Linked DNA regions of Oryctolagus cuniculus. Each later gene encodes a partner of the first gene's protein in a complex. Links are inferred from orthologs where the notes say so. Each region holds a gene or a part of one and is shown on either strand. Other genes may lie near its edges.

What was found. The genes of interacting proteins can lie anywhere in the genome.
Region 2: the proteins of DOCK5 (region 1) and RHOG are in contact, whole or in part, in a cryo-EM structure (PDB 8XM7), measured with the Homo sapiens proteins. The link is inferred for Oryctolagus cuniculus from reciprocal best matches to the Homo sapiens genes DOCK5 and RHOG. Residues at the interface, in NP_079216.4 of Homo sapiens: Val232, Phe345, Asn393, His394, Lys395, Gly396, Trp400; in NP_001656.2 of Homo sapiens: Ala121, Pro123, Leu126, Arg127, Arg128, Lys130.
Region 3: the proteins of DOCK5 (region 1) and ELMO1 are in contact, whole or in part, in a cryo-EM structure (PDB 8JHK), measured with the Homo sapiens proteins. The link is inferred for Oryctolagus cuniculus from reciprocal best matches to the Homo sapiens genes DOCK5 and ELMO1. Residues at the interface, in NP_079216.4 of Homo sapiens: Met1, Ala2, Arg3, Trp4, Val14, Ala15, Ile16, Tyr17, Asn18, Ser22, Gln23, Gln30, Ile31, Gly32, Asp33, Thr34, Glu39, Tyr41, Gly43, Trp44, Arg46, Tyr48, Lys56, Ile58, Pro60, Glu61, Thr62, Tyr63, His65, Leu66; in NP_001193409.1 of Homo sapiens: Ile7, Val8, Lys9, Ala11, Tyr18, Pro19, Leu21, Glu23, Glu36, Asp39, Gly40, Ser42, Asn71, Gly72, Gln392, Asp393, Leu400, Glu401, Lys468, Arg531, Glu535, Leu536, Lys539, Leu547, Gln550, Gln551, Asn554, Arg555, Asn582, Thr688.

The regions. Positions count from the first base shown.
Region 1 is NC_091433.1:48,826,785-48,830,573, forward strand, and holds part of DOCK5 (dedicator of cytokinesis protein 5), read right to left. Parts: intron 3,464-3,789; coding exon 3,363-3,463; intron 1,384-3,362; coding exon 1,325-1,383; intron 638-1,324; coding exon 483-637; intron 1-482. UniProt on the Homo sapiens protein: Guanine nucleotide exchange factor (GEF) for Rho and Rac. GEF proteins activate small GTPases by exchanging bound GDP for free GTP. Along with DOCK1, mediates CRK/CRKL regulation of epithelial and endothelial cell spreading and migration on type IV collagen.
Region 2 is NC_091432.1:63,071,653-63,074,902, reverse strand, and holds RHOG (rho-related GTP-binding protein RhoG), read right to left. Parts: upstream 1,775-3,250; coding exon 1,199-1,774; 3' UTR 617-1,198; downstream 1-616.
Region 3 is NC_091447.1:27,806,519-27,810,779, forward strand, and holds the start of ELMO1 (engulfment and cell motility protein 1), read right to left. Parts: upstream 2,917-4,261; 5' UTR 2,606-2,916; exon of another isoform or gene 2,418-2,605; intron 1-2,417. UniProt on the Homo sapiens protein: Involved in cytoskeletal rearrangements required for phagocytosis of apoptotic cells and cell motility. Acts in association with DOCK1 and CRK. Was initially proposed to be required in complex with DOCK1 to activate Rac Rho small GTPases.

The sequences.
Region 1 (3,789 bases):
TGGAATATCAGACCATATCTCTAACTGCTTTACAAAAGAAACACAGTGGTTAAGCCACTGCTCGAGATACCTACAACCTATTTGGGAGTGTCTGGGTTCAAGTCCTGACTTCCTTTCAATTCAAGCTTCCTGCTAATGTGGAGGCAGCTGATGAAGGTTCAAGTATTTCGGTCTCTGCCACCCACACGGGAGATGTGGATTGAGTTCCTGGCTCCTGGCTTCAGTATGGCCCAGCTCTTGCTATTGTGGGCATTTGGGGAATAAACTATTAGATCTCACTTCTATCTCGCATTCTCTGTCCTTTCAAATAAACAAAATCAATGAACTAGTTAAAGAAACTTTAAGTGAAATTCTAACAAAAAGAAAACATGAAAACGAATTTTCAGATCAGCTTTGATTGGTATTATCAGGTGGCTGCTTCCCACATAAGTAAGTGCTGATTCTCTGTGCATTGGTAAGATCCAGGCTCTCCCACTCCTTACCATATGGAAATTGCCATTTCCACTGAAATTGAACTCACACTGCATCATATCAAAGAAAATGGGGATGGTGGCTTTCCGGAGCTCTACTTCAGGGGTCAGAGTGACCTCCAGGATAGGACCCACCATGGATGGGATGAATTTGATTTTGTGGGGACCTGAAATGAAAGTAAATGAAGAAATTAAAAAATCATTCCACAGTATGTAATGCGCTACAGTCTTACTCCACGGGGCCCATAAGAAAAGAAAAAGTTTGGGGCCGGCACTGCAGTGTAGTGGGTAAAGCTGCCGCCTGCAGTGCTGGCATCCCATATGGGTTCTGGTTCAGGTCCCGGCTGCTCTACTTCTGATCCAGCTCTCTGCTATGGCCTGGGAAAGCAGTGGAGAATGGCCCAATTCTTTGGGCCCCTGTACCCACATGGGAGGCCTGGAGGAAGCTTCTGGCTTGGGTTCAGCCCAGCTCCAGCTGTTGTGGCCATTTGGGGAGTGAACCAGCAGATGGAAGACCTCTCTTTCTCTCTCTGCCTCTGCCTCTCTGTGACTCTGTCTTTAAAATAAATAAATAAATGTTTTTTTTTTTTTTAAATAAGGAAAAGGTTTACATGGATCCATCAGCTCCATTCAGGAGTAGTGAAATACAGTATCCTGATAATGTGTGGATGCTACAATAACAGACAATTCACGGTCAATGTCCCAGTGCAGATGAGGGTGTGAAACCCAAAAATCAACTTCTACTTCCATACACACATATCAATAAATAAAGCTCAAGGCCTTATGGATTAAATAAAAAGAGAATTCTTATACACAGCAGTTGTGCTTGGGCCTGTTCAAGGTCACACACTCACCCAGGTTATACCACATGTCCCGGATTCTAAAGCCGATTTCCTTTCTCATGTCCCCATATCTAGGAAGAAGATCATAAACCAAGAAGAGCGTTTGCAGTAGAAATGTACTGAATATATACAAAGATATGGAAGATAAAAATAGCCCATGTCCTTCTGGGTCACATTAAGGCAGGCTGTCTGCAAGAGGTGAGACCCATACCAACACAAGCCCCGAAAGAGAACTGAGTCATATGGGGACGGGGGAACTGAATGGCAGGAGGGGCCCAGTGCTGAAAAATAACTGAGAATATGAGATTAACAAACTTACTGAAGGAAGGGAGAGTGAGAAACACTCTGGTTGCTGTGAAGCCAAGAAGGAAACGGGCAAAACAAGAAGCACAAATGAAGGTGAAGGGTATGACTTCACGGTAAGGGCACTGACAGCTGACTTCATCCACTCCTATTCAGGTAACACATACCCGACCACTGTGCTCTTCAGGGCACTCACACTGGGCAGCCCTAGACCCAGCATTCTCAACAGAGGCAATCCTATCTCCAAAGTGACGAGACTGGCTTTAAGGGGTGGGGGAAGCTTACTGTTTTTATGTATGCAGTATAGACAGAGTGCATCAATGAACAACTAATCTATCTGTAGCATTAAAATTTCATGGAAGGTATGATTTGAAAAATAATGTCTTAAAAAGGCTCCTTATCAGAGCTGATAATGAGTTCTGCTGGTTCTAGAATGAGATTCTTGGGTGGAGGTGAATCAGAAACACCTGCAACTCTGCTAAGGCACGCATACATCTGAGGCCATCCCCACAACACAGAACTGGAAGTGGGGAGGGTGAAATGATTTTGAGTACATGTTCCCAGGGAGCTCTAACACATGCCTATGGCCCATCCTACCACCACCAGTCTACCTTATTCTACTCATGCTGATTGCCCTGAACATATTTTCTCCCCAAACTTCTACTTTGGAAATGCCTACAGAAACCCATTCCATTCCAACAAAAATATCCCAATTTAGTAATAGTATTAGAAATATATGTTGTCCAACTCTTGTACATAAGGAACAATAAATGATAACTACTATTGTTATTGATACTTCTGTTGATACACTTCTATTAAAAATAAGGGAAAGCTTGAAATAAAAGTTCATTCACATTTCTATAACCTTAATATAATTGGTTTTATTTCCTAAGTTTTATCTTTGCCCATATGCATACTGATGTTTAAAAATGTCTTCACAGTCATACTTTGCTGCATGACCAAAACTAGAAGCATTAACCCTACCTAGCCACTGACAGACTTGGCATTGGCTAACTTCCCAGGTTATACTTCAGTCTTTCAAAACAAAGTCACTAAGTAAATCTCAGTCCCTCAGCCAGTAACTCAGGTGTTTAGGGAGGGGCCAGAGGTACGGGAGTATTGAGGAACTTGCTTAGAACCGAACACAAGCTAGCAAGGGAAATGGAATTCAAGTTCTGAAGTTCTCTAAATGATACATCTCTCAAGTTGCTTTTTAAACTGCACAGTCTTTGAGTTTCCCAGCTTTCAGTTGACTCTGAAGCTGACCTGAGAGGAAAGCACTAAAGTGTCCATAAATCTCTCAGGACTCTTGCACATAATTCCATCTTGAATGCCAACCCAGGAGTCTGGAGGACATTTTTAGGTTATGCTGGAGTCTTGCCTCCTCTGCCAAAGGAGTTGGCTTTTTGTGAAGCATGAGTGAGGCACTATGCCTGTAATTGGGAGGAGCCACCAGCAGATGGCATGTGTTCTTGGGGGACAGAGTGCTAGCCACTCCAGGAGCCTCTCTGCTTGTATAGATTCTACAGAAGGCATGGGAGGACTGAGGGCAGTCACACAGGGCCTTGAGGAAAGAGATGAGAATCCAGGGGAATTTGAACCTACTAAATGGTTGATTTAAGACCTACTTTGTTAACAACATCGAGTAGCCCCTAAATAGTAATTTCTGTGATAGCAACAATATTGCTCTGAATATGAACAGAAGAATCACCTTTCCAATCCTAAACAAGCTTAAAAGGACACTTACTTTTTTACAATTTTGCTGCGCTTGGCCTGTGAGAAGGTTTCAAGTTGAAGGGACTCATGGGTGAGAAATGCTACAGCCAAATGGAAGTAATTGTTCCAGAGCTATTCAAAATGAATTGCGTGGGCAAAAAGAAAAAGAAAACATGAATAAGGGCCATGATAAATCAACACCACATGGTAAAGTCATTATCAGGGATTAATGAAAGAACAAAAGAAAATCCAAAAGACATCTTTTTCTTTCTCGGGTTTCAATTACTCAGTTCTGAAGGTTTTGAGACTTAATATTGAGCTTATTTATTTATTTATTTATTTATTATAAAATCTACACTTTATACTTTACTTTTGGGATAAAGGAAAAGTGATGTGAAGAAGTCTACTTATAGTAGGTGGTTTGGCAACATGTATCAAAAGCCTAAAATTTTGCCAAA
Region 2 (3,250 bases), on another chromosome or scaffold:
AAATAAATTTTTTTTTTTTGGCCAACAATCTGGCTTAGGCTTGCTGGGTTCATCTCCTTGTCAGATAGGAACTGAAATAAAGGTTGGCTTCAGGATGAGGGAATAAGCCAATGGCAGGATAGGATTCCAAGTGGCCCCCAGTTTAGGCATGAGGTCTCCCAGGGCTGACCTAAGCCTCTCTTTTGGTGAGTGAGAAGGGCTGAGCCATCAGTTCCAGGCCTGGACGCTGGGACAACCTGGCAGTCTCTAGCTGAGGCAGATGCCCTGGGTTCTACCTCAGCTGGTCAGTCCAAGGGGACAGCTCCCAAACGCATGACTGTGAGAGCACTTGCCTTCTGGATGGTAGCTTTCAACCACTCCCTTTCCAACCCTAGATCAGGAAGTCTCTTCAAGCTTTGCATCCTGGTCCACTGCAGCATCTGGGGATGGACCCTAGAGCAAGACTGGCTCCTCTGAGAGCCCAGAGCTTTGTTAGGGAAATTGGGGGGTGGGGGAGACCACAATGAAGCTTATTGTCCCCTGTCCCCTCTTATAGAAAACAAAAGGTTCCCAGTCTCTGGGGAGCCCTAGCCCATGCCCAACCCCTAATCCCCAGCACACAGGGAGGAGCCGGGGCCACTGGAGACAGGAGGTTTTATTGATGCTGATGGGGGTAGGAAAGGCCCCCAGGAGCAAGGGGGCTGAGTCAGTCAGCGGATGCGTAAGGCCTGGGCACATGGGGGCAGGTTAGGACACATTCATATTCTCAGGATTCTATGGCTCCTTCCTGGGGGAAGGGAGAGAGCATCTGGGGAGGGAGGGGCACTTTTAGGAGCGGCAGGGGCAGAGGTTAGAGATGGCTGAGAGCCCCTAACCTGAAAGGAGACACCACAGGCAGCAACAACTGTGTGGAAAGCTGGATCAATTGGTCAGTAGCAGAAAACGGGGAAAGGGGCACTGGACTGGCCTCTTGGGGAGGGGTCCAACCTCAGCCTGGGTGAGCTCATGAGAATACCTGGTGTTCCCAAGCAGGGTGGGTGAGGCCCAAAGCCCCTTCCCCTGCAGGCCTCCTTAAGGAGAAAAAAGGCATTCAGGGAGCCCCCTGGCAAAGGGTGCCAGAATTAGTCCTTAAGGCACAGCTGGGGGCAGACAAGGCACCAAGGCACAACTGGTGGCGGGGGTGGGGGTGGGGGAGCAGCCTCCAAGCTGAGTGCCAGGGTCACAAGAGGACACAGGACCGCCCACGCTTGATCGGTGTGGGGTTGAGCACAGCCCGGACAGCCTCGGCAAACACTTCCTTGACGCCGTCCTGCTGCAGGGCCGAGCACTCGAGGTAGCGCACAGCGTGGATCTGCTTGGCCAGTGCCTGGCCCTGCTGCGGTGTGATGGGCGCCTGGCCCTGCTCCTTGAGGCGCCGTAGGGTGTCAGGCTGGGCTCTCAGGTCCTTCTTGGTGCCCACCAGGAGGATGGGCACGTCGGGGCAGTGGTGGCACACTTCCGGGTGCCATTTGTGCCGCACATTCTCGTAGGAGGGCGGGCTGGCAATGGAGAAACAGATGACGAAGACGTTGGTCTGAGGATAGGAGAGTGTGCGGAGGCGGTCGTACTCCTCCTGGCCCGCAGTGTCCCACAGGTTCAGGTTCACTGTGCGCCCATCCACTGCGCTCTGGGCACTGTAATTGTCGAACACCGTGGGGATGTACTCTTTGGGGAAGGCATTGGTTGTGTAGCAGATGAGCAGGCACGTCTTGCCCACTGCTCCATCACCCACCACCACACACTTGATGCTCTGCATTGTGGGGGCAGCTGCTGCAGTGGAGGCAACGCCTCCTCCCTCTCCTGGGCCCCTCTGGGTATAGTGACCTGTGGACAGATGAGAGGGATATTGTTGGTTAGAGAGGCCTCTACCTACCGAGAAGAAAGGATGAAGGCAGACAAAGGGAAACCAAGTCCTGTTCCCTTAACCTAACAGCAGCCCCCACCAAGACAGACATCAGAGAGACAGATGTGAGGCCTAGAGACCAAGTGAGATGCTTCAAGAACACAGTCCAACATGGGGGGGAAGTTCATGAGCTCTGGCGCCAGACTAAGGTCAAACCCTGGTGCTATTTCCCAGCAGTATGATCCTGGACAAATTACTTACCTTCTCTATGCCTCAGTTTTCCCATCTATAAAATGGGGGATAAGATAAAACCTACTTCACTGAGTTATCATGAGGACTATTTAATATATGGAAAGTATTTAAGTATCAGGTATTTTCCTGTTTCTCTAGGCAATGTAGACACAGGAGAGTACGTAAGGATCTTCCAGTTCCTCTACTAATATGCAGCCTTCCCACTCTGGGATGTGGCCGGGGTGGAACCTTTCCCAGCTCAGGGTCCACCCCACACTGATGTTTCAAATTCTCCAAACCTGACATCTTGGCTACTGAGTATGAACCAAAGAGCGCAGTGAGAAGCCCACTAAGGAAGGAGCACTGCTGCCCTATGCCAATCTAGAGTGCTCTGGGATGGGGGGACAGGCCACCGCCATCATTCTTGTAAGCATGAAAAGCCCTGTCTGGCAGGAGAATGTTGGAGATTGAGCTGTGGCTGGGACCTGGACTAGAATCTGGCTGTGTTCCTTCAAAGCAAGTCAGGAAGGGATGAACAGAAGGGCAAGACAAAAACTTAACTTTTCTCCTCAACGTGTCCCTTTCCTGAACCATGAATATGTACCTATGAAGAATATCAGGGCCTCAGGTACAGAACACAATGCCACCAAAATGCCATCACTGGGGCAGCATTGTAATGCAGCAGGCTAAGCTGCTGCCTGCAATGCTGGTATCCCATATGAGCATCGATTCGAATTCTGGCTTTTCCACTTCCAATCCAGCTCCCTGCTAGCACACCCAGGAAAACAGCAGAAGGTGGCCCAAATACTTGGGCCCCTGCCACCCACGTGGGAGACCTGGATGGAGTTCCAGGCTCCTTGTGGACATCCGAGGAGTGAACCAGCAAATGGAAGATCTCTTTTTCTGTCTCTGCCTCTCTGTAACTCGGCCTTTCAAACAGATAAATAAATGTTTAAAAAAAAAAAAAAAAGTCATTGCTGAGAACTGGATACTAAAGTCTGGTGGGCAGGGATTCTGTAACCATAGCCCTACCAGCTAATTATCTATGACCTTCGCAATATTTTTAAGTTCTCTGAGCCTCGATTTTCTCCCCTGTAAAATGGTGATAATCTTGGATATTGCATTCAAATTGCTTAGAGATGAGTTAATGTGAAGAAA
Region 3 (4,261 bases), on another chromosome or scaffold:
TACAGCCCAACTGGGTCTTGAGTTTCTCCAGAGCCTGCCCCTCCCTGACACCCACCAAGCTTCTTGCCCCTCCGGACACAACCCCCTGCTCCTGCAGAGTCCCTGCATTGAGGATCATTTCCTCAACACTTACCAGTCCATCTCATTTTTAAAAAAATTCTTGAGTAATAAATATAGTAGGAAAGAAGGCAAGAGGCGCATTTAAGAGACAGGAAATGCACCATCGACTGTCATGCCGCCAGCTAATGCCCAGAGCAGCTCAAAAGTCTTCACTGTGACTCATCTCCCGCTCAAGCCCACCACAAGCACCTGATGTTCCTATCAGGCTTTGCATCGAATTCCCGGGAGAGATGCACTCCCAGCCACCCTGGCCTAGTCCAGACCGGACTGCAAGAGCAACCCTAGGCCGGTGGGTCAGCGCGTACCAAGTAAAGTTCACTCCTCGTGTCATTTTAATACTGAGGTCTCTGCCTTATGACCAGAATGGGCAACCTGTGTGAGAGCATGTTCCTGAACCTGTACCCAAAGCATGACAAGAACACCCCCTCTTCCATCCCTAAAATAAAGGCTACCTGTGTCTCCAGCTGGTGAAGTCACAGCTCTGGAAACGAGTCCCCGTGGTCTCCTTTGCTGCAAATAAATTACTTTGTGTGACAACTTCTGGTGCACTTCTTGACTGAACCCGCCAAGTGGGCCCACAATTTGGCATGGGTTAACAATAAGAAAGAGCGAGGTTCAAAGGTCAGCTATAAAAAAAAAAAAGAATTCTGCCACCTGCCTGCAGAGGATGTAGCCTTTAACTTATGGCCCCCAGGTCGGTAACTGGGTGACAATAATCCTTGAAACAACCTTGAGAAGTGGGCATGGAGGTGAAAGAAAATGCGAAAAATTATGACCAGGGAGGCCATTAACAATGGCTGCTGGCAACTTTCACAATCATAAAGAGAGTGTGAGTGCCCTGGTCCCCCGAGTTCCCCAAGGGGCTCTCAAAGAGAGCATTAATTGCTTTTATTTTACAGAAGCTGAAACAATTAAAAAAATTCCTTCACGGCCCCATCCACTCCCACCCCCCAGAATCACAAACTCCTGTCTTAGGTTCCCCAAGCCTTAACCTTAATGCAGAAGGTTCGCATCACTCCGGGCCAGCGGCCCTGGCAGGTCCCTCCCTGGTCGGGGGCGTGGGGGCGTGGGGGCGTGGGGAGGGGGGGGGCAGGCATCATGAAAGGCACTCAGGGAGTCTCTGGAGCTGTCCAGAGGCCCTCAGCGCGGGGTCACCACGGGGCGCCAAGCCCCGCAGCCTTAGGTCAAGCGGGTCTGGCGGTCATCAACAAACAGCTGCCAACTTCAAAAGGTCCCCAAGCGGGCGAGGGTCACTCGGCGGGGAGTCGGCGGCTGCGGAGCTCCCCCGCGGTCACACACACAGGCGGACGCGCGTGCACACATACACACACACACACACATACACGCGCGCGCAACAGACACACGCGCACAGACACACGCGCGCGCGCCCGCGGCACAGCCCGGACTTCCCAACCCCAAACACACGCGCGCACCCCCGGGCCGACTGAGTTCTCTATTTTCTCTTCCTTACAGCGACTCAGGCGGCCGCGGCCGCCCAGCTCCGCTTGGGCTCCAGGCCCCAGGCACTCCGCCCGCCGTCTCCCTTCCCTGAAGGCGCGCCCGGTGCGTCCCCTCTCCCGAGCCGGGATTGCCATCGAAGACCACCCCCCTCGGCCGCGCCAGGCCGCCTTTCCCGGTCCCAGCGGGGACCGCGGCTCGTCTCCAGGTGGCGGGTACTGGCTAACGAGAGCCCCAGGCGCTCCCGGCTGCGCACACCGCCCCCTGCCGCCCCTGCGGGCCCCCAGCCCGGTAGTAGCCCATCACTTCCCCCGCCCAGGAGCGCGCTCGCCGGGGGATTCCCTCCCATCGCCTAGTGCCGAGAAAACCCCGGCGTCGGCGCGGCCAGCCGCGTCTCTCTCACAGCTTCCCGGGTCTCTGACCCCCGGGGATCCTGACTCCAAGCTCCCAGCTTCACACTCCGCGGTCCCCAACACCCCTGTGGCAGCCGCGCGGCGCGCCGGCGCCCCCTCCAGCCGACCCAGGTGGAAACAGCCCCGCGGGTTCCCGGGCCCCGGCCCTGCGCTCCATCCCCGACCACCTCTCCCCGCCGCCCGCTCTGCCCAGACTTCGCCAACTGCAGGGCGCCCCGACGCGCCCGCAGCCCTCACCCGGCCAAGCGCCGCGGCCACCCCCGCGCCAGCCGCGGCGCCCCCAGGGAGGGAACAAAAGTGTCTCCGCGGCGTCCGGAGTCCCCCGGAGCGGGACGCCTCCCCCGGAGCCCGAGCCCCAGCCCCCTCCCCGGCCGCGCTGAGGTCAACGAGTCAGGGCGCGGCGCCAGCCCAGGAAACTTTACGAACCTGCCCGGGGTCGCAGGACAGCGGCGGCGGCGGCGAGGGCTCCAGATACCAGAGCTCTAGCGACCCGCGACTACGGAGCGCGGTCCGGGGGTCTGTCGCTCAGCTCCGGGCCGCGGCGGGGTGTGTGGCTCGGGCTCTACCCCGTGCCCATCCTCGCCCGCTCCTGCTCGCCGAGAACACGCACTTACACTCTGGGTCGGCCGGCTGCTGCGCCGCCGGCTGCTGCTGCTCTCACTTCCTCTTCCTTCCTCCTGCTGGCCAGAGACACATTTTGCATCTGCAAGGCATCCCGAGAGCAGCCGCGAACTCTCCTGCCGAGCGGACGCTGCGGAGTTGCCGCCGCCCCCGGCACCTGCGCCCGGACACGCGTGGTTGGCGCGTTCGCCTCCCGCCCGCGCGCGGGGCCTGCCCACCGCACTTGGCCTCGGAGGCGGGCGTGGGGTGGGGGTGCCCACGACTTTTTGAAGTCCCCCTCCTTAAAGAGAGGGAAATATCAAACACCGTGCATGCCTCAGATCTGCTATAAATAATATGTGTGCGGAGCATGACTTTCCCGATGAGCTCACACAAGGCGTTTTGCAGGCACTAATTAACTCCGTCACCCTCGTAGCGCCACCTCCGGGAGGCCGAGAGCGCGTGGCATCTTTTTATATGCGTTCATTTTTGGCAAGGGGTTGGGGATTTTGAGGGGAAACTTTGGTGGGCTGTTACAGCTACTTGAAGAGGCTGGTGTGTTTGTTTTGACGCCGTGCCTCTACCCTTGGACGGCGTAGCAAAAATAACAGCAGAGCGTTTCCTCTGCCTCCCTAGTCACCTATGCGTTTGCTGACCCCGTAATTCAAGTCACAAGGTTTACTTCTAATCCAGTGATCCAGGGACTCCCTCACTTGGCATAATTTTTGCATAAAGCAAGAGACGTTCTGCCCCCCAATTTGGCATTTAGGAAAAAATTTTTAATTCATGCAACCTTCCTGAGTCATTTTTAAAGCAGAAATCTCGCGCGTTAGCTCCCAGCCCAGCTGGCAGAAGGGGAAAAACAGTTGTTGGAAGGTGGCTGGAGAAATGCCTGCCCTCCCCAAATTCAGAAATGTCTACATTGGCTCCCCGGGAAAAGGCATAGGCAGCTGCCGTGCAGTCGCTTCTAACCGGCAAAGAACATAAATTGTTGGCAGGAGGCAGCGGACTGTAAGGTGGAGGGCCATGCTCCCAGTGAGGCTCATTCTGCACCCCTCCCCCTCCCCCCAATTTTCACATTGGGATGATGGCCTTTTAGCAGCCCGGAGCCACAAGTAGGTGCTGAGCCCCAGACATGCGCCTACTGTAACTGTAAAATCTGCACAGGACTTAGTATGAAAAACGGCATGTACACTAGCGTGCTAATTTATCTTTACATTGATTACGTCATTTCAATAAATGACAATACAGTCCTTTAACTGTAATGGGTCACGGGTTAATGTAGTGGGCTGATATATAAATACACACATATATATTTGAAATTACCATTTTTTAAAATGCAGCTTCTAGAAAATATAAGCATATACACATGGCTCTCATTAGTGGATCACATTATATTGCCAGCTAACAGCCCTGATCTAACCCCTTATTCTATGCAGAACTCCAGGAGGCAGTATTAGTAGCAGGATGCCTGGGTCTAGCTAATTTTAAGCCAGTAACTTAAAGCAGGGTTATCCCAGGGAAGTAACTTAACTTCTTTATTTCCTTGTCTATAAAACATAATGATAGAATAAAAACCATCAACAGGGCAACTATTAAATGAGGTAATTTAGTAAGCAGTCAGTAAATGAAGGTTTTACTAATGATGCCATGAGACACTCAGAGTGATA